3 linked regions of the Anolis sagrei genome follow. The protein of the gene in region 1 interacts with the protein of each later gene in a pairwise test. Links are inferred from orthologs where the notes say so. Each region holds a gene or a part of one and is shown on either strand. Other genes may lie near its edges. The genes, in order: C5H4orf19, PDCD10 and EIF3E.

Evidence for each region.
Region 2: the proteins of C5H4orf19 (region 1) and PDCD10 interact in binary tests that used the Homo sapiens proteins (3 or more experiments, as listed by UniProt). The two-hybrid records come from large-scale screens. The link is inferred for Anolis sagrei from reciprocal best matches to the Homo sapiens genes PGCKA1 and PDCD10.
Region 3: the proteins of C5H4orf19 (region 1) and EIF3E interact in binary tests that used the Homo sapiens proteins (3 or more experiments, as listed by UniProt). The two-hybrid records come from large-scale screens. The link is inferred for Anolis sagrei from reciprocal best matches to the Homo sapiens genes PGCKA1 and EIF3E.

What each region holds. Positions count from the first base shown.
Region 1 is NC_090025.1:118,415,534-118,422,686, forward strand, and holds the start of C5H4orf19 (uncharacterized protein C4orf19 homolog), read left to right. Parts: upstream 1-4,068; 5' UTR 4,069-4,239; intron 4,240-7,153. UniProt on the Homo sapiens protein: Acts as a tumor suppressor. Acts as a tumor suppressor for colorectal cancer cell proliferation by targeting KEAP1/USP17/ELK1/CDK6 axis.
Region 2 is NC_090023.1:250,379,225-250,386,588, forward strand, and holds the start of PDCD10 (programmed cell death protein 10), read right to left. Parts: upstream 3,021-7,364; 5' UTR 2,851-3,020; exon of another isoform or gene 2,841-2,850; intron 2,792-2,840; exon of another isoform or gene 2,630-2,791; intron 1-2,629. UniProt on the Homo sapiens protein: Promotes cell proliferation. Modulates apoptotic pathways. Increases mitogen-activated protein kinase activity and STK26 activity. Important for cell migration, and for normal structure and assembly of the Golgi complex.
Region 3 is NC_090024.1:27,384,051-27,391,743, forward strand, and holds the start of EIF3E (eukaryotic translation initiation factor 3 subunit E), read left to right. Parts: upstream 1-4,613; 5' UTR 4,614-4,687; coding exon 4,688-4,777; intron 4,778-7,693. UniProt on the Homo sapiens protein: Component of the eukaryotic translation initiation factor 3 (eIF-3) complex, which is required for several steps in the initiation of protein synthesis.

The sequences.
Region 1 (7,153 bases):
ATAAAACAATAACTTTATTTTTGGACCCCGCCTCCATCCCCTCAGAGGAATTTGGGTCGGCTTACATTGGGACGAGCCCGATGTAAGCCGCCCCATAGTTAAAATATAACACACTAAAATACATAAACAACAGCATAAAACAGAATAAAACAACAAGATTATAACAGAATATAAAAGCAACCATCAAACCAACAACAATGAACCTGTAATAATAATCAATTTTGGGTGGTATGGCTATGTTCTAGCAGCATTTTCTCCTGAATTTTCTTCTGCATCTGAAAATGACAGCCATAGATACAGGCAAAATGTCAGGAGATAATGCTGCTAGAACACGGCCATACAGCCCAGAAACCACACAACACTCCACTGAAAGAAGATCTATTTGATAGCCCTCAGAACCCATTCATTAGCTTCATGTGTCAAAGCAATTACAAATTTAAACCACCAAAAGTTCAGGGAAGATTGTGGTTGAGCAACTAATAAACATGTTACAATAATTCTATGTAACCAATAAAATAAGAACAAAGTACAAGTAATAGAACGGATAGTGCTGTCTTTTTAAAATATATTTTTCATTAATTTTTAACTATTGAAAACTTCATTCGACCCATCACTTGGACCACATACTTCTATCTTTTTATCCATGAGCACAATTTTCTTAATTTCAGTACAATATTCAAATTGGCTTTGCTACTATTTATCCATTCCATATAAACCATCCATTTATCTTTTATTTGTTTTGTTTTACACTCACACGTAGCATCATGAGTTCAATATACTAAAATATCAGATTGTAATTGATCATAAAAGTAGTAATTCCAATTTTCTATAGTCCTCCCCCCCCCCCCCCCAATATTTCCCACCCCATGCTATCACTGCCTGTCCTGCTAAAATCATAGCTTTAAATAATTCCTGGTCTTTTACTTTAACCTTGTTGTTACCTAAAACTTCCATTAGCATCACATCAATGCTCACTTGAAGTGATAAATTAAATAGGTTTTCTTCCATTTTCTCCTTGGACATTCCCACCAAATATGAGCATACTGTCCTTTGTTTAAATCCCACTTGCCTAGTTTCCAATAGACCTCACAACCTCTGAGGATGCCTGCCAAAGATGTGGGCGAAACATCAGGAGAAAATGTTTCTGGAACATGACCATACAGCCCGGATATCTCACAGCAACCCAGAGATTCCAGCCATGACAGCCTTTGACAATATATTGCATCATGTTTCCATCTGAACTGCTTTTTGAATAATGGGATCTACAAGTTCAGCAGTGGAGTAGGCTGCCTGGGAGTGTGGTGGAGTCTCTTTCTCTGAAAGAGGTGATTAGATGTCCTTGTTTGTTTCCTCTTTGTTGTTGTGCTGTTGCAATTTTAGAGTTTTTTAATACTGGTAGCCAAATTTTGTTCATTTTCATGGTTTGTTCATCTAATAACCTCTCAACAAAAGTTTTCTCCAGGCACAGTCAGGCCATTGTATGCTAATCAAAGTGGTCAGTTGAAACATTCACACCTAGCTCCAGCAGACAAGAGTCCTTTGTCTCACCCTGGTCATTCCACAGATATATAAACCCTTTTTCCTAGTTCCAACAGACCTCACTACCTCTGAGGATGCTTGCCATAGATGCAGGCGAAACGTCAGGAGAGAATGCCTCCATATGACCATGGCCATATAGCCCGAAAAAACCTACAACAACCCAGTGATTCCGGCCATGAAAGCCTTCAACAATACAGTATTTTCTGTTGGTCAAGGGGGTTCTTTGTGGAAAGTTTGGCCCAATTCTATCATTGGTGGGTTTTAGAATGCACTTTGATTGTCGGTGAACTATAAATCCCAGCAACTACAACTCCCAAATGTCAGTGTCTATTTTCCCCAAACTCCACCAGTCTTCACATTTGGGCATATTGAGTATTCCTGCCAAGTGTGGTCCGGATCTCTCATTGTTTGAGTCCACAGTGCTCTCTGGATGTAGGTGAACTACAACTCCAAAACGCAAGGTCAGTGCCCATCAAACCCTTCCAGTATTTTCTCTTGGTCACGGGAGTTCTCTGTGCCAAGTTTGGTTCAATTCCCTCATTGGTGGAGTTCAGAATACTCTTTGATTGTAGGTGAACAATAAATCCCAGTAACTATAACTCCCTAATGATAAAATCCCCCCCCCCCCCCCAAAAAAAAACACCTTGCCAGTATTCAAATTGGGGCATATTGGGTACTTGTGCCAAATTTGGTCCAGTGAATGAAAATACATCCTGCATTTCAGATATTTACATTACGACTCAGAACAGTACCAAAACAACAGTTATGAAGTAGCAATGAAAATAATGTTCTGGTTGGGGGTCACCACAACATGAGGGGCTGTATTAAGGGGTCACGGCATTAGGAAGGTTGAGAAATACTGGCCTAAGGGCTAAACAATAAAAATTAGTACTAGACTTAGCTTGACTTCTGAAGCAGAGACCTCCTGTGGGTCACTACATTAGAAACTGAAGAGTTTCACAGCATCTTATCATCATGTTGGGTCATAGCATGTTTGTGTCCAAGAGCCCCTTAAATTTCCAGCTCAGTTGCGGCAGGAAAAAAAGCCAATGGGATGTTGGCCTGCATCAATAGGAGTCTAGTGTCTAGATCCAGGGAAGTCATGCTACCACTCTATTCCGCCTTGGTTAGACCACATCTGGAATACTGTGTCCAATTCTGGGCACCACACTTGAAGGGAGATGTTGACAAGCTGGGATGTGTCCAGAAGAGGGCGACTAAAATAATCAAGGGTCTGGAGAACAAGCCCTATGAGGAGCGGCTTAAAGAGCTGGACATGTTTAGCCTGAAGAAGAGAAGGCTGAGAGGAGACATGATAGCCATGTTCAAATATGGGAGAGGAAGTTATAGGGAGGAGGGAGCGAACTTGTTTTCTGCTGCCCTGGAGACTAGGACGTGGAACAATGGGTTCAAACTACAAGAAAGGAGATTCCATCTGAACATGAGGAAGAACTTCCTGACTGTGAGGGCCAGACATCTAGTGGGGGGGGGGGGGCTTGAGGGGCTTCATCCCCCCCCCCCCCCCAAATTCTCAGGGTGGTCTGCGAGAAGGCCTTACTGGTACATTATTTCAACTGTTATGTTTATTTATATCATGATCTGATCACCATGCCCAATATATCCCATATGCATAAGGCTTAAAGAACTGGGCACGTTTAGCCTGAAGAAGACAAGGCTGAGAGGAGACATGATGATGGCCATATATAAATATGTGAGAGGAAATCATAGGGAGGAGGAAGTGAACTTGTTTTCTGCTGCCTTGGAGACTAGGATGTGGAATGATGGCTTCAAACTACAGTAAAGGAGATTCCATCTGAACATTAGGAAGAACGTCCTGACTGTGAGAGCCGTTCAGCAGTGGAACTCTCTGCCCCGGAGTGTGGTAGAGGCTGGATGGCCATCTGTTGGGGGTGCTTTGAATCCAATTTTCCTGCTTCTTGACAGGGGGTTGGACTGGATGGCCCATGAGGTCTCTTTCAACTCTGTGATTCTATGAAAGAAGGAGCCTCCACCGCACTCTGGGGCAGAGAGTTCCACTGCTGAACAGCTCTCACAGTCAGGAAGTTCTCCTGAATCTCCTTTCTTGTAGTTTGAAGCCATTGTTCCACGTCCTAGTCTCCAGGGCAGGAGAAAACAAGCTTGCTCTCTCCTCCCTATGACTTTCTCTCACATGTTAATACATGGCTATCATGTCAGCCTTCTCTTCTTCAGGCTAATCATGCCCAGCTCTTTAAGCCGCTCCTCCTAGGAATTGTTCTCCTTGATCATTTGAGTGGCCCTCCTCTGGACACATTCCAGCTTGTCAATATCTTACTTCAGTTTTTGAGGTAAGAGTATTCCAGGTGCGAGCTAACCTAATCCTCCTCATTAGGACGTTTGGCTGGTTTTCTCCCGCCTTCAACTTGCAGGTAAAGGGTTACAAGAGTGTCTCCTGGGATGTCTTCCATGCAAACTCTCTCTGTGAGTGTGTGTGTGTTTGTTTTTTAAAGGGCTTTTCTTTTCCTCAGCGGTCACGTGACGCCCGGCTGCCCAATGGCACCCAGGGCAGGCTCCCTCCGAGGTCAGGCAAACTGGCTCCGGGCTGGGAAAAAAGGGGGCAGTTTGGCGAGGCTGCCTTTCCCTTTTCGCCTTCAAAGGAGGCAGTCCGGTTCTGGCCATGGGAGAAGCTGAGCCCCAGCCTGGAGGGAGCAGAGGCTGCAGGTAGGAGGAAACTTGGGGAAAACTTTGGGGACAGGTGTGAATGAGCGGTGGGCTCACCTTGCCTGGCGATGGAAGGCTCTCCCCTCCCTTGGAAAGGCATCCACTCACCCACCTCTCTTTCCAAAGGAGCAACAGGGTGTTTAGGAACCCCTCCTTTTTTTGGGAAGCTTAGCCCACAGATCCAGGGATATCTACCTGAGTGGGACAACACAGGGCAGAAAGTGGAGGGTGCGAGAGAGGAACCTCCTGACCCCCCCCCCTCCCCAAAGAAGGCAACTTGTGTGTAGGTGGCCAGAACTTTCAAATATATAGGCAGCCCCCAAGTTATGAACAAGATAAGTTCCACAGGTTTGATTTTAGGTTGAGTTTGTATGTAAGTCGGAACAGGTGTATTTTTGAAGAGTTGTCATTCCAGCCAAAAACACAGGGGGGAGGGGTGTGTGTGTGAGAGAGAGAAAGAGAGAGAAAAAAGAGAGGAACAGAGGGATAAGAGTAGAGAGAGAGGGGGGAAAGGGAAGAGGGAGGGATAGAGAGGGTGGGGGGGAAGGAGAGAGAGTGAGGGGAGAGAGAGGAAACGGGAGAGAGGGAGGGGGAGAGAGAAGAGAGAGGGAGGAAAGAAAGGAGGGAGGGAGAGAATGAGAGAGGATAGAGGGGAGAGAGGAAAGAGGGGAGAGGGAGATAAAGTGGGGGAGAGAGGGAGAGAAAGAAAGAGAAGAGAGAGGAAGCAGAGAGAGAGGGGGAGAGAAAGAAGAGGGAGAGAAAGAAAGAGTAGAGAGAGGAAGCAGAGGGGGAGAGAGGAGGAAGAGGGAGGAAAGAGGAGAGAGGGAGAGAAAGAGGGGGGAGAGGGAGAGAAAGAAAGAGAGAGAAGAAAGGGAGGAGGGAGGGAGGGAGGGAGAGAGAGAGAAAGAGAGGAGAGGGAGAGAGAGGGAGGAGGGAGAGAAAGAGAGAGGAGAGGGGGAGAGGAGGAGAGAGGGAGAGAAAGAGAGAGGGAGGGAGAGAAGGAGAGAAAGAAAGAGAAAAGAGAGGGAGGAGGGAGAGAGAAGGAGAAAGAAAGAGAGAGAGAGAGTAGATATTTCGGTAGCATAGGGAAGGGTAAACACCCCTGTGCTGTTTGTTTACTGTCTGTTCCACTGTTCCAAAGATTTCACCTCACTTTCTCTCCCTGCAATTAGATTTTGAAACTTTTGGCTTGCACTGAAACAAGGCTTGCTGATAAAGCTTCAGTGGAGACACCTTTTCCCCTTAATCACTCTTTCATGAGTGAATTTCCCTTTCAAGGGTTCAGATTTTGTCTCACCCCCATTCTTATCTAGGAGTCATTTGTAACTCAGGGACTACTTACACTAGAAGAACTTGGCAAAGATACACCACTTAGGCAGAAAAAATGAAATGCAAAGATACAGAATGGGGGATGCCTGGCTTGGCAGCAGTACTGTACATGTGAAAACATCTTGGAGTCCTCATGGACAACAAGTTAAACATGAGCCAGCAATGTGATGTGGTGGCTAGTCCAATTCTGGGCACTGCAATTGAAGAGAGATGTTAACAGGCTGGAATGTGTCCAGAGGAGGGTGACTCAAATGATCAAGGGTCTGGAGAACAAGCCCTATGAGGAGCGGATAAAAGAGCTGGGCATGTTTAGCCTGCAGAAGAGAAGACTGAAAGGAGACGTGATGGGGGTCATGTATAAATATGTGACTGGAAGTCATAGGGAGGAGGGAGCAAGCTTGTTTTCTGCTGCCTTGGAGAATAGGACACAAAACAATGGCTTCAAACTACGGAAAGGACAATCCTCCTGAACATGAGGAAGAACTTCCTAATGGTGAGAGCTGTTCAGCAGTGGAACTCTCAGCCCTGGAGTGTGGTGGAGGTTCCTTCTTTGAAGACTTTTAAACAGAGGATGGATGGCCATCTGTCAGGGGTGCTTTGAATGCAGTTTTCCTGCTTCTTGGCAGAGGCATGGACTGGATGGCCCATGAGATCTCTTCCAACTCAATTATTCTATGAAGAACAATTTTAATCAGCAATAACTTACCAGCATTTCAATGGGAAGTGTGGGCCTGCTTTTAGCTGATGAGAGTCAGGTTAAAAAAGATTGTTGTTGTTGTATGCCTTCAAGTTGTTTCAGACTTAGGACAATCCTAAGTTTAAAGATTAAGGCTGATTTGCTGTCCTGTGTAATGTCTGAAAGGACCTCCGGTCCAAGAGCACAGGAGAAACTTGGATAACTAGGAAGAAATAGGTAATATGATGAGAAGATTAATAGGGAATAATAATCATAACAACAAGAACACAACTTTATTCAAATCCCTCCATCATCTCCCAAAAGGGATTCGGGGCAGCTTACAAAGCACATAGTAGTGCAGCAGAATATACAAAATATAGTCAAATACATGAATATTTATAAAACAACACCAATGTCAATTTACGTAAAACAAATATACATAAAAACAGTATATAAAGCCCCTACTAATTTAAATAAAATACTCATTTTTAACAAGAGAGAAAAGTGGGGTATAAATAAATAAATATAAAAATACAAGGTATAAAAGAGATAAAAAAGGATATAAAGATATTGATAAATATAAGAAAGAACTATATAACGATTGGGAGTATCTGATAACCATGTGTGAGTTGCACCTTCAAAGTAATGGAGTATGACACTTTGAATGGACAATGACTGGTTGAGTTGTTTCTATGATCTTTATGGGTTATGGGAGGAAATCACAGCACTGAGTGAAAGTGAGACAGTTTGCATCATTTCCCATAGTTTCGTAACTCGGCATTTCTCAATGTCCTTGTTTTATCATACCCAGGCTAAGTCCCCCCCCCCCCCCATTTCATCACCTGCTTATCCCATCCAAGCATTTAGAAAGTCCATTTGAGATCTACTTTGGGGCCAAAGTTCAAGGAT
Region 2 (7,364 bases), on another chromosome or scaffold:
CTAATTATTTCAGCAAATGAGGCGGAACGCCACCACTCCCCATCCCTGGAAGCAAAAGCACAGTAATGAAGTACAGTCAGTCTCTCTGTATCCATGAGTTCAACATCAGGGATTCAACTATTTCCAAAGACAAATCTTGATTTCACCATTATATATAAGGAACAGCATTTTATATAAGGAACCTACAATTTTTGGTATCCGCAGGGAGTCCTAGAACCAAAACCTGGCAGATTCCAAGGGCCCACTATAAGCAACAAAGAATTTGTTGGCAATCCAAGTCTACTGTTTAAGACTGGCACCTTATTTTTCCTCAAATACAGCTGGCTCTGGCCAGACTTTCTCTATCAACACCAAGAAAACAAAACCCTCACTTCTACTACCTCTTCCTCCTGCCATCCCCATTATTTTTTTTCCACCTTATAAAAAACCCCCCCAAACTCCTTGGTTAATTTATGCTTAGGCACATTTAAACTGCAGAATTAATGCAGTTTGGAATCCCTTTGACTGCCATGGTTCTATGATATGGAATCATGGGAGTTGTAATTTGGTCAGGCATCAGTATATTTTACTAGGGAAGGATAAAGACCTTGTAGGCAATCCCTCGTGGCTGCATATGATCATCTTCCAGAGGTAGATTCTTGATGGTGGGTCTGTGACTGTGGGCCCATCCAGACAGGTTCTATATCCCGGGATCTCATCTCAGATTATCTGGCAACAGGGACTCATATAATCTAGTTTAAAGCAGAAAACTCGGGATCAGTTCCTGGGATATAGGGCCTGTCTGGAAGGGCCCTGTGAAGACCTATGCTAGATCCGCATGGCGTTTCGCAATGAGGACATCAATTTCAAGATGGAAGGCAGTCACAACAAAGGGTGCGACTTCCTCTTGGCTTGTTACACCCTGCACTCCAGCCTCTTCAAAATCCATTGCACCGTTTGTAAATGTTGACTTCCTGTTACAATGCTGGGGTGGCAGGGCTTCCCAGTTCTCTGTGTTTATACCACATTTTTTTAAAGTTAGCTTTGAGACCGGCTTTTAAATCATACCACAACTCCTGTGATTCCATAGCAATGGGCTGCAGCACTGCATTTGTTCCCAAACTCTGGTCTTCTGGGCAAACTTCAGCCCTCCAGATGTTTTAGACTTCAACTCCCACAATTTCTAACAGCCTACTGGCTGTTAGGAATTGTAGGAGTTGAAGTCCAAAACACCTGGATGGAGGGCTGAAGTTTGCCCATGCCTGGTGTAGATGCACTCCTCAATGTAACGCACCTACCAATTTCTTCTTTATTGCCATTGTTGTTGTTGTGTAAGTTCAATAACAATAACCAATACCATTTTGACCTGTCTCTCCTCCAAAACATCACGTCTGCATAAGAATCAAAATGTGTTTATACCACATTTTTTAAAGTTAGCTTTGAGACCGTCTTTTGAATCATACCACAGCTCCTGTGATTCCATAGCAATGGGCTGCGGCAATTAAAGTGCTGCAAAACTGCATTTGTTCCCAAACTTTGGTCTTCTGGGTAAACTTCGGCCCTCCAGATGTTTTGGACTTTAACTCCCACAATTCCTGCTGTTAGGAATTGTGGGAGTTGAAGTCCAAAACACCTGGATGGAGGGCTGAAGCTTGCCCATGCCTGCTCCGCAATATAATGCACCTACCAATTTCTTATTTATGGCCATTGTTGTTGTGTGCCTTCAAGAACAACAATCAATACCATTTTTACCTGTCTCTCCTCATCTTAAGAATAATTCACGGCGGCTGCTGTGGTTTTCAACTGTGAATGTGTTTGGATGATTTTTAACTGGGAATTTAAAAATACTATTTCAATGTTTGTATCTTTCAAATGGCTATGCCAGGCAAGTGTTTTGGATTTCGATTCCCACAATTCCTAACAGCCTATTGCAGATATGGGCAAACTTCGACCCTCCAGGGGTTTTGGACTTCAACTCCCACAATTCCTAACAGCCACAGGCCCTTTCATTTTTCCCCTCAGCAGCTTAAGCGGCTTAAGCGGCTGCGGGGAAAAATGAAAGGGCCTGTGGCTGTTAGGAATTGTGGGAGTTGAAGTCCAAAACCCCTGGAGGGCTGGAGTCTGCCCATGCCTGGCCTACCGTCTGCTAGGAATTATGGGAGTTGAAGTCCAAAACACCTGGAGGGCTGGAGTTTGCCCATACCTGGCCTACTGGCTGCTAAGAATCATGGGAGTTGAAGTCCAAAACACCTGGAGGGCTGGAGTTTGCCCATGCCTGGCCTACCGGCTGCTAGGAATTATGGGAGTTGAATTCCAAAACACCTGGAGGGAGGGCCAAATTTTGCCCATGCCTGGGTTATGCAAATGCTTTTATGTTTTGCTGCCTTGAGTCCCCTTTGGGGGAGATAAAGTGGGGGTATAAATACATATAATCCTCCCCATGGCTTCAATAGTTCCTTAATTAGGGTGACCCTCAAGGCACCCCATCACAGGGCAAGATTTCTCCAGAGAGGGGGTTGCCCTTGAGGCTGAGAGAGTGTGGCTCGCCCAAGGTCACCCAATGGGTCTCCTGAACCCTGACCTCCAGGCTGAGGCCTAGTCCACCTCCCCGAATTCCCTCTCCTTCCTCCCCGCCACTCGGGCTGGATACCTCAGCAAAGGAGGGCCTCCTCTTTCGGGGACTAGGAAGAACCAACCGCGTTCCCCTCTCTCTCTGTCTCTCTCCTCAGCCAAGCCACTAGGCCCGACGCCTGCCCTCAAGTCGGCTTGCCAGGGGCCAACCCCGTCCTCGAAGCCCCGCAGGCCAGGCCCTGCCAGCGACCCCACTACTACCGAAGGAGAGCGCGCAGCGGCCGCCTCACCTCCCCTCACCCGCCTGCCTGTCCGCCCTTCGAGGCTCCTCTTTCGCCGAGGCCGGAAGTAGCAGCGTCCTCCTTCTCTCCTATGCCACCGCCGTCGTTACCACACACCAGGCGTTGTCCGGAACTAGCCGGCGACCGCGGGGGCCCACGGGGCCTGTAGTCGCGCCTTGAACACTACAACTACCGAGATGCTTTGCGAAGACCGCAAGAGACTCATGAAAGGGGACCAATAGGGAGGAAGGGGGCGTGGCGTTGCCCATATTAGGAGAGAGAGAGATTGGGAAGTAGCGTTCGAAAGGGAGAGGAGGAGGAGCCCAATAGGGAGCAAGTGGCGTGTAGACGAAGAGCGAGACATTAGGAAGCAGCACCCGAAAGGGAGAGGAGGGGGAGCCCAATAGGGAGTAAGGGGCGTGGCGTTGCCCATATTAGGACGAAAGTGGGCGGAGACAGAGACATCTTGAAATAGCATCCGAAAGGAAGAGGAGGGGGAGCCAAGAGGGAGCAAGGGGCGTGGCGTTGCCCATATTAGGAAGAAAGTGGGCGGAGACAGAGAGATTGGAAAGTAGCATCTGAAAAGGAGGGGGGCAATAGGGAGTAAGGGGCGGGGCGTTGCCCATATTAGGAAGAAAGTGGGCGGAGAGAGAGAGAGACATTGCAAAGTAGCATCTGAAAGGGAGAGGAGGGGGAGGACAATAGGGAAAAAGGGGGCGTGGCTTTTGACCATATTAGGAAAAAGTGGGCGGAGAGAAAGAGATTGGGAAGTAGCATCCGAAAGGGAGAGGAGGGGGGCAAGAGGGAGCAAGGGGCGGGGCGTTACCTCTATATTGAAGGCAGAATAGACGAAGTGAGAGACATTGGGAAGTGGCACCCGAAAGGGAGAGGACGGAAAGGCCAATAGGGAGTAAGGGGCGTGGCTTTTGCCCATATTAGGACGAAAGTGGGCGGAGAGACATTGAGAAGTAGAATCCGAAAGGGAGAGGAAGACTAAGCCAATAGGGAGGAAGGGGGCGTGGCTTTTGCCCATATTAGGAACAAAATGGGCGGAGAGAAAGCATCTTAAAGGGAGAGGAGGGGGAGGCCAAAAGGGAGTGAGGGGCGTGGCGTTGCCCATATTTGGAAAAAAAAGGGGCGGAGAGAAAGCGCGAAGAAGCATAAGAAGGGGAGAAGCGATACACCAATCGGGAGAAAGGGGGCGTGGCGTTTTCCATATTAGGCAGAAAGGGGGCGGAGCGAAGGGGAAGTGGGCGGGCCTGCGGAGTAAAACCATTCCCAGCGCAGAGGCGCACCAGAAACAATCCCTGAGGCGGTGCCGGCGAAGGAAGCAGCGGGCTCTGAGTGCGGAGCCACATCTGGAACATCTCTCTCCATCGCTCTTGAAAGCACCTTTGGGGCAGGTAAGCTCTGCTGCCAGTCACCTCTTTGCAAGGCTTGATTGCCTCTCCCCTTTTGTTTATGTCTTTCCTTTGAGAAGAAGAGTGAATATAATTGATCTTTGGCTCCACTGAATAGGAATTTAGTAGTGGATGGTTCATCTTCCCCTTTCTTTTGCTTGGGAACAATAAACTAGTTTACATATTTCCCCCAAAATGCAATTATTATTATTATTTTGGGCAGATCTTCCAGTAGCATAACTTGAACCCACTGAATAAGATCAGGATAGTGGTTGTTTCCCACTCCTCTTTATTTTGATTAGAAAAATATAGACAAGTTTTCATTCTTTCCTCTAATTATACTAATTATTAAAAATTTCATAAATTATTTATTATTAATTGACAGACACAAAATGCAGTATGTCACAGCAAACGAGGTCTATATTATTATTGTTTATTATTATTGTTGTGAGATCTATATTATTATTGTTATATTATCAGGATATATTAACAATATATTATCAATATATCAATATATTAACAATATACCGCAATGAGTCGCCCTTGGGGCTGAGAATTGCTGTATATAAGCGCAGTAAATAATAATAATAATAATAATAATAATATTGTTATATTGTTATATTATTATTGTTATATTATCAGGAGCCCCCGGTGGCGCAGTAGGTTAAACCCCTGTGCCGGCAGGACTGAAGACCGACAGGTTGCAGGTTCGAATCCGGGGAGAGGCGGATGAGCTCCCTCTTTCAGCTCCAGCTCCTCATGCGGGGACATGAGAGAAGCCTCCCACAAGGATGATAAAAACATCAAATCATCCAGGCGTCCCCTGGGCAACGTCCTTGCAGACGGCCAATTCTCTCACACCAGAAGCGACTTGCTCCTGACACAACAAATTTTTTTGTTTATTATTGTTTATTGTTATTATTGTTGTTGTTATTTTTATTATTATTTAATTGGGCAGCTCTCCCCGTATCTTAACTTCACCCTCTCCCAATTTCCTTCCCAAGCATCTTCTCAGCTAAGTGCTGGATCACTTCCCAGAGGCTTTTCTATGTTTTCCCCTGTTGCTAGCAACCTATGAGGATATATTGTTGTCTCTCTTCCTTTCCGCCACTGCAAGCTTTAACAGTGATGTTGCAAATTAAATAATTTCTACCTGCAGTCATTTCCCCTCCCTGTATTGAATTTTGTGAAGTAACTGATTATATGGAATAATTATAGCAAATGCTCCTTTTGCTCAAAGATAATGGGCATTTCCCCCTTTGTCATTCTCCGTAAGCCCCGATTTGTGTGTGTTTGCGGTTGAGAGGCACTGTCATTTACCCCTTCAAGAGTTAAAATAATGCTACGAAATGTCATTTGAGGTATATATCTATATCTTGGTAAAGTCAGTATATTTTTCATATATATGTATCCTGGTTGTGGGATCAAGCATTTGCAGAGCAGACTGACTTACTGGTTGAATCCCCGATTTGTATGTGTTTGCAGTTGAGAGTCACTGTCATTTACCCTTCAAGAGTTAAAGTAATGCTACGAAATATCGTTTGAGGTATATATCTATATCTAGGTAAAGTCAGTATATTTTTTCATATATATGTATCCTGGTTGTGGGATCAAGCATTCGCAGAGTAGACTGACTTACTGTTTTAATGGAATGTTTCTAGGATGACGACTTAAATTGGCAAACTGTTTTAATGAATTTTTATATCTGTTTTATTATAATATGTGTATATATGCTTGTTTTTACTTTGTTGTTGGCACTGTGCTTTGCCGGTTGGTAGCCACCCTGAGTTCCTCTGCAGAGGTTGAGAAAGGACTACACATGCCTAAATAAATAAATAAATAACACACACACACATCTGTATAAATAAAATTGTAATGTTCGTTTATGGGATTAACAGAATTCAAAAACCACTGGACAAATTGACATCAAATTTGGACACAAGACACTTAACAACCCAATGTATGTCCTTCACTCAAAAAAATTGATTTTGTCATATGGGAGTTGTAGTTGCTGCGATTTATAGTTCACCTACAATCAAAGAGCATTCTGAACCCCAACCAACGATGGAATTGAACCAAACTTGGCACACAGTTCTCCCATGACCAACAGAAAACTCTGGAAGGGTTTGGTGGGCAGTGTCCTTTGGTTTTGGAGTTGTAGTTCACCTACATCCAGAGATCACTGTGGACACAAACAATGATGGATCTGGACCAAACTCTACACAAATACTCAATGTGCCCAAATGTGAACACTGGTGGAGTTTGGGGAAAATAGAATCTTGACATTTGGGAGTTGTAGTTGCTGGGATTTATAGTTCTACAATCACAGAGCATTCTGAAGCCCACCAACGATAGAATTGGGCCAAACCTCCCCCACAGAACCCCCATGTGGGCCACAGCAACGTGTGGCAGGGAACGGCTAGTATCTATCTATCTGTCTGTGTGTGTGTGTCTGTGTAGATAGATAGATAGATAGATAGATAGAGTTGGTTCAGAATTGGGCAGTATCAGTATTTATCCCTAGCTCATCCTATAGTGTTGCGTCTCCCACATTACTGGTTCTTGTAAAGATGAGTACCGTATTTGACATCTATCTCTTCAAAAGTTTTATATAGAATGTCGGTCCATTGAGATGGCCATTAGGCTTTGCAATTGGTCTCTTTCATCTCTGTTGGTACAGATGGAAATCTTTATAATGAGCAATTTTGTCACTGACTTCGAATGAGGTTGTCACTTAGTGTTTCCAGATGCTTTTAAAGAAAAGAAAGAAGGCTGTACGCAGTAGAAAAGAGATATTGAAATAATATAGGGAAGAATGTTTATATACAGGTTTTCCATGCGATTTCTACATTTGGTTTCACATTGTTGTTCAGGCTACATCTCATGAAATGGATTGTGTAGCCTATGGAAACTTGTGCCAAATAAAACCAACTAGTCTTTAAAATTCCACAATATTTTTTTTTGTTCTCTTGCTGCAATGTAGCCTCCTCCCTCAATTTTTTTACTAAGGATGTGAGTCTACACTTCTTTATTGGGAGTGGAAGGGCATCTACACTGTAGAACAAATACAGTTTGATGCCACTTTAACTGCCACCGTTCAATGCTAGGGGATCATGAGTTTGTTAGGAGCCCC
Region 3 (7,693 bases), on another chromosome or scaffold:
AAGACAGAGAAACCAACTCACCAAGTTGAAGACAAGCCACAGAGGTTTATTCGGTTTGGCCAAAAGGGATACAAGATAAGCCTTTTGTTTCAAAACGTTCAAGCATAAACTTACAGAGAAATACAGGGGATACAGTTCTGACAGCTATTCAGACTTCCCGCTCCCTCCCCTGATTAACCAGAAAAGAGGCTACTAGGATCCATGCCAGGATTGGCTGGGAGGGAAAATGGCAGCCAGGGATTGGTCAGAGTGGAGGACCAATCAACTGCAGAAACGCCCCGAGAGGGCACAGTCTGGGGTAAACAAATAGTAAAGTTATGGTGATGGGCCTTGGATGAGATCAAATGTCTAGTTCCAATTCAAACAAAAATGGGAGCTTCAGAAAGCAAAGCTGTAAGACTCAAGGAACAAAGGTGCTGATCTTGAGTAATCAAAGGCTTGGCTGTCAATAAAGAAGTTCAACACATGCACATATCTACAAGCCTGTTTTTGTGGGCAGCAATCTCTCAGCTTCAAGTAAATCATATAGCTAGACAAACAGGTTTAGGTTTATCTAAGCCGATAGAAAACTACCTATCTCTGCATACGCATGAACAATGAACTTGGTGGTTATCTTGGCTTGGGAATGTCTCTGGGCTTATTTGGTTTATATCTTGGTAAAGAAGAATAGATATAATTTATTAAAGGGTTAGATATGATAGAGTTTAGAGACTTATAGCTACTGCTAGCTTGATCTTGATGTTTTGATGCTTTGAACATGCACAAGTCTGGAAAGGGTCTTTTAAAAAGGGAAACATATATTTATTTCTGAACTATAAATCTTTTTTGGGGGGATTACCTTGGCTCGATAACACTGTGAATTGGATATCCAACTTCTTTAAAAACTTCTAAAGAAGTAGGATATACTAAATTCTGAGGCAATTTATTCCATTGTTGAAAAACTCTTAAAGCCAGGAAGTTCTTCCTAAAGTTTAAGTGGACTCCTTTTTCTTGATATTTGAATCTGGTATTCTTCTTGGAACATTAGAATACTGGTTCACTCCATCTTCTACATGATATTCTTTGAAATGGTTAAATACCTCACCCTGGAATCTCCAACAGCATAATTACACAGTCCAAGGTTGACCAGTCAATTTTCAGTAACAACAAGCTTTCAAGGAAGTAGCAGAAAAGCAGGCCAAATTTAGTCCTGATCCAATCCAACCACCAAACTTACAACCGATGAAACTGTCCAAAACTCCAAATGGTATCCACAGCTCCCCAGAGTGCAAAATCCAAGGCGTAGTTTCTAACATTGCTACCAGCAATTGAGCAGCATGAGACAAAGCCTTACATGTTGCTTTAACAGCTCATCCCCATTTCTGGCCATTCTCTCAGCAATTCTGATTGAATATCTCAGCTGAGATTTTTCTCTTGGGGAGCAGGCTTAGCAGTTGCTGCTTCTGGGTGTGGATGAGCAATTGCTGTTCTTGGCTAGGTTGTAGATCAGATATGGGCAAACTTCAGTTCCCCGGGTGTTTTGGACTTTAACTCCCACAGTTCCTAACAACTGCTAAGTTGGCTGGGATTTCTGGAAGTTGAAGTCCAAAACACTTGGAGAGGCAAAGTTTGCTCACGGCTGCTCTAGTTTCACAGCCAACCCCTCATCCACACCATCCATGATACAAATACTAAATATAACTATTTATTTATCTCATTTATATCTTGTCTTTTTCTACCCTGGGGAGTCAAGATGGTTTACAAATCCATTTTCTCTTCCTCAGACTAATTAAATGCAGCTCCCGTAGTTGTTCCTCATATGTCTTTGTTTCCTCCTCACATTCCAGCTGTCTATATTCTTCTTAAATTGGTGCTACCCAGAACTGACCATAATATTCCAGATAAACTTTACCCAGGAGCACTAGTTCTGACTAGTTCCAAATAGACAGGCAAACTGTTGTGCTGTAAGGAGGCAAAGGTAACACATACTAATTGCATGTGATGCCTGTCTCTAAAGGCAAACGAAGAACATGAAACTTTAAAAATTAGTGTATAATATAACCTTGTCCTTGCAAGAAAACATTATAGGATAACCAGTTTTAGTGGTTCTATGTGTATCTTTTTATTAGTCTAATGTGATGTATTTATACAATGTGTATTTGCAATGTGGCACCAAAGTGGCCAAACTGTAAGCTACTCTGAGTCCTCTTCGAGGTGAGAAGAGCTGGGTAGAAATATAGTAAGTAAGTAAATAAATAGTACATTCCCATATCCATAGGGAATGTGTCCCTCAACTTACTGTGGCAGTGGAAACAGGAAGCCATGGGCAATAGTGAATCCTGTGAAAATGAATTATTTCTGTCAGAAGTTGCATCTCATAGGAGAACCTGGAAAATTCTTAGATAGGTAACTTCAATGGACACAAACTTTGTTTCATAAATAATTTCTTTTTAAAAATTATGTATAAAATCACCCTCGGGCCATGTTTATAAGGTGTATTTGAAACATAAATGAATTTAATGTCTAGACTTGGGTCTCGTCTTCAAGATATCTCAACATGTATGTGCCAAGTTTCCAAAATCTGACAATACTGGAAATCTAAAACACCGGTTTCAAGCACTTTGGATAAAGGATAATCTGTTCTCAGACCCGACTTTTCATCCAGTGACCATAAGAAGCACTGGTTCTCACAGGGCTACTACCCCAATGACTCCAGAGCAAGAGAATGATACATAGGCAAGAAGTCTTAGGGCACATCTACACTGTGGAATTAACACAGTTTGACACCAGTTGAAGTACTATAGCTTAACGCTATAGAATAAGGGGAGTTGTAGTTTTAAAAGGTCCTTAGTTTTCTCTGCCTAAGAGGGCTGGTGTCACACCAAACTACAAAGCTCTCTGGATTTCATGGCATTGAACCACCGATGTTCAAGTGGTGTCAAACAGCCCGTTCATCGGGTATTATCAGGGTGGTTTTACCTATTTTGATTGAGTCATCATTAGGATTTTGCAACATTTACTAATATTTATGGTTTCAACTTATTCTTAATTTTTATATTGTATGTTTTTACTATTACAGTTACCATAAGTTTGTATTGATGTGTTTGTTTACTGTTTTGATTTGGTTTGTTTTTGTTTCTATTGTTTATTATGGCATTGAATGTTTGCCTTATTTTGTTGAAAACTGCCCTGAGTCCCCCCGGGGAGACAGGAAAGGTTATAAATGAAGTTTATTACTCAGTAGTAATTATAGTTAATATATTAGTATTACTGTATTACATTATTATATATTATTATATTGTATTATTATTGTTATATTGTATTACATGATAATATTAGCAGTATATACAACATAATATTAGCATGGCACAATATTAGTATTATATAATACTATATTGTACTATACCACTATACTGCAATGTTCTTAGTAATATATAAGGAGCCCCCGGTGGCGCAGTGGGTTAAACCCCTGTGCCGGCAGGACTGAAGACTGACAGGTCACAGGTTCGAATCTGGGGAGGGGCGGATGAGCTCCCTCTATCAGCTCCAGCTCCTCATGCAGGGACATGAGAGAAGCCTCCCACAAGGATGATAAAAACATCAAATCATCCAGGCGTCCCCTGGGCAATGTCCTTGCAGACGGCCAATTCTCTCACACCAGCAGTGACTCGCAGTTTCTCAAGTCACTCCTGACACGACAAAAAAAGTAATATATAACAAGCAAGTATTATATTAGTATATATTATATTGTATTACACACACACACAAGTATAATATTCTATTAGTACTATATAATACATTGTACTATATCATAAGTTGTAGTATATATAATATATTACAGTATCATTAATATTATATATAATATATTAGGATTATTACATGACAATGTTATTATTTCTATATATTATAGATGTCGTTTTATATATTACAGAATGATGACTTTTATGAAAAATAGTATAAGAAGATGAGTGGACAGCCAAGGTCTGGAGAACAAGCCCTATGAGGAGCGGCTAAAGGAGCTGGGCATGTTTAGCCTGAAGAAGAGAAGGCTGAGAGGGGATATGATAGCCATGTATAAATATGTGAGAGGAAGCCACAGGGAGGAGGGAGCAAGCTTGTTTTCTGCTTCCCTGGAGACCAGGACGCAATGGAGCAATGGCTTCAAACTACAAGAGAGGAGATTGCATCCGAACATGAGGAAGAACTTCCTGACTGCAAGAGCCGTTCAGCAGAGGAACTCTCTGCCCCGGAGTGTGGTGGAGGCTCCTTCTTTGGAAGCTTTTAAACAGAGGCTGGATGGCCATCTGTCAGGGGTGATTTGAATGCAACATTCCTGCTTCTTGGCAGGGGGTTGGACTGGATGGCCCATGAGGTCTCTTCCAACTCTTTGATTCTATGATTCTAAGGAGGAATAAGGGGAAAGAAGTTGAGCAAGGAGTGAGAAAATAACTCTGTACGCATGCGCAGGAGTTATTCTCCTAGCGACTAGTGACGCGGAGGGGAGGAGAGGCGGAGCTTAAATGTATAAGGAGGAGGGACATGAAGGGCGGAAGTTCTTCACGCATGCGTAGAAAGGTTTGCTGTGCCTAGAGACGGGGAGACGGCAAAGGCAGTGCGTGCCCTGTTGCGCGTGCGCAGTCCGATCTCGTTCGGCGACGGCGTCGAACGTGCCGTGCGTCAGCCTTTCCCTCTCAGCGCGGCGCCCAAGATGGCGGACTACGACTTGACCACCCGCATCGCGCGCTTCTTGGACCGGCACCTGGTCTTCCCGCTGCTCGAGTTCCTCTCCGTCAAAGAGGTGAGAGCGGCGCCTCCCTTCCTTTTCAGGGGGAACTGGCGGGGGAGCCTCGGGGCGGCTAGCAGGCCTCACAGGCCGGGGCTTCCTCCCCAGCGGCCTCCTCTACTTTGGAGGAAAAGGAGGCGCCTCCGCCTCTTGGGACGCTGTGCTGAGGGAGGGAGCAGATGGGAGCCCTTTGCTTCAGCCTCTGGAGGCCTGTTTTCTTTTGTATCTGCTGGACTCCAGTCTTTTCCTGGCCAGGTTTCTGTGAAGTAGCTTTAACATCATCTACTCAGCAATATGACGTTGTCTTCTTCATTCTCTTGTGGTGACAAACTTGGGCTACAACAGAAACCTGTAAAGTCACACATAAGTGCTCTTGCCAAATCTACCTTGGCTGAGATTGCCTCACATACACTTTATTAACTAGAGAGCATCATCTTGAGAAAATTCACTGTATTTATTTTATTTATCGTGTCAGGGGAAACCAGACCATTGTATTACATTTCTAACAGAACAAAGCAAACAAACAGATTAAAAAAAACCCACAAAGTTTGCAAGCTTGGTAGTTCATTAAATGTCCTTTGACCAGTATCTGGCCACTTGGAGTGCCTCTGGTGTTGCTGCAAGAAGGTCCTCCATTGTGCATGTGGCAGGGCTCAGGTTGCATTGCAGCAGGTGGTCAGTGGTTCGCTCTTCTCCACACTTGCATGTCGTGGATTCAACTTTGTAGCCCCATTTCTTAAGATTGGCTCTGCATCTGCCTTTCCAGAATAGGAAAACTCCAATAACAAGTCCAGAAGCACTTTATTAGAATTGAGATTGCAGCACACTGCACTTACCCTATAACCCTATATCACCTCTCACATCAGCACTTTTAATCTTGTACCCATTCACTGGCCCGGCCCAGTTTTATTGTGTCTTGATGTATTGTTTATTGCTTGTTGTTTAATATTGCTTTAATTGTTTTTAATTTGCTTTAGGTTTTGTATTGTTGTGTTGTGTTTGAGGCCTTGGCCTATGTAAGCCGCATCGAGTCCTTCAGGAGATGCTAGCGGGGTACAAATAAAGTTAATAATAATAATAATAATAATAATAATCTCGTGATGCCAGAGCGCAGTTTGTTGAGCGCAGTTTGTTCAGCGCCTTCCAAGTCGCCCAGTCTTCTGTGTGCCCAGGGGGGAGTCTCTCATTTGGTATCAGCCATTGGTTGAGGTTTTGGGTTTGAGCCTGCCACTTTTGGACTCTCACTTGCTGAGGTGTTCCAGCAAGTGTCTCTGTAGACCTTAGAAAACTGTTTCTTGATTTAAGTCATTGACGTGCTGGCTGATACCCAAACAAGGGGTGAGCTGGAGATGTCACTGCCTTGGTCCTTTAACTATTGGCTGCTACTTCCCAGTGGATGTCAGGTGGTGCAATACCAGCTAAACAGTGTAATTTCTCCAGTGGTGTAGGACGCAGACACCCCATAATAATGCGGCATGACTCATTAAGAGCCACATTCACTGTTTTAGTGTGGCGAGATGTGTTCCACAGTGGGCATGCATACTCAGCAGCAGAGTAGCATAGTGTAAGGGCAGATGTCTTCACTGTGTCTGGTTGTGATCCTCAGGTTGTGCCAGTCAGCTTTCATATGATAATTGTTTCTAGCACCCACTTTTTGCTTGATATTTAGGCAGTGCTTCTTGTAGGTCCAGAGTGACTCCCAGGTATTTGGGTGTGCTGCAATGCTCCAGTAGGATTCCTTCCCAGGTGATCCTCAGAGCTCGGAATGCTTGCCTGTTCTTAAGGTGAAAGGCACATGTCTGTGTGCCTTTCACTGTGACAGCAACCCTAAAGGAAGAAATATGAGGAAACTACCACAGTTTTTATAGTATCATTAAGTTGAAAGAGACCTTGTGGGCCATCTATTCCAACTCCCTGCCAAGAAGCAGAAAAATTGCATTCAAAGCAACCCCAACAGATGGCCATCCAGTCTCTGTTCAAAAGCCTCCAAAGAAGGAGCCTCCACCGCACTCCAGGGCAGAGAGTTCCACTGCTGAACAGCTCTCACAGTTACTAAGTTCTTCCTAATGTTCAGGTGGAATCTCCTTTCTTGTAAATTGAAGCCATTGTTCCGCATCCTAGTCTCCAGAGCAGCAGAAAACAAGCCTGCTCCCTCCTCTATGATTTCCCCTCATGTATTTATACATGGGTATCTTGTCTCATTTCAGCCTTCTCTTCTGCAGGCTAAACATGCCCAGCTCTTTAAGCCACTCCTTATAGGGCTTGTTTTCCAGACCCTTGATCATTTTAGTCACACTCCAGCTTGACAACATCTCCCTTAAATTGTGATGCTGAGAATTGGTCACAGTATTCCAAGTGTGGTCTAACGAAGGCAGAATAAAGGGGTAGCATGACTTCCCTGGATCTAGACATTAGACTCTTATTTATGGAGGCCGAAATCCCATTGGCTTTTGTTGCCACCGCATGTCATTGTAGGCTCATGTTTAATTTGTTGTCCAAGAGGACTTTAAGATCTTGTTCATGCATACTTCTATCGAGCCAGGCGTCCCCCATTCTGTATCTTTGCATTTCATTTCTTCTGCCTAAGTGGAGTATCTTGCATTTGCCCTTGTTGAACTTCATTTCGTTAGTTTTGGCCCATCTCTCTAATTCAGTGGTTGCCAACCTTTTTTTCGACCAGGGATTACTAGTACCAAAAGTGGTGGGGCTGGTCAGATCTGTGGAAAGTAGTGGAAATAAAATAAATAAAGAAGGAAAAGGTTCATGGACCAGATTTTTGTTCTCGCGGCCCACTGCTGTGCTGCGGCCCACAGATTAAGAAGCACTGTTCTAATCTGTCAAGATCTTTTTGAGTTCTGCTCCTGTCTTCTGGGGTATTAGCTATCCCTCCCATTTTGGTGTCATCTGCAAACTTGATGATCATGCCTTGGC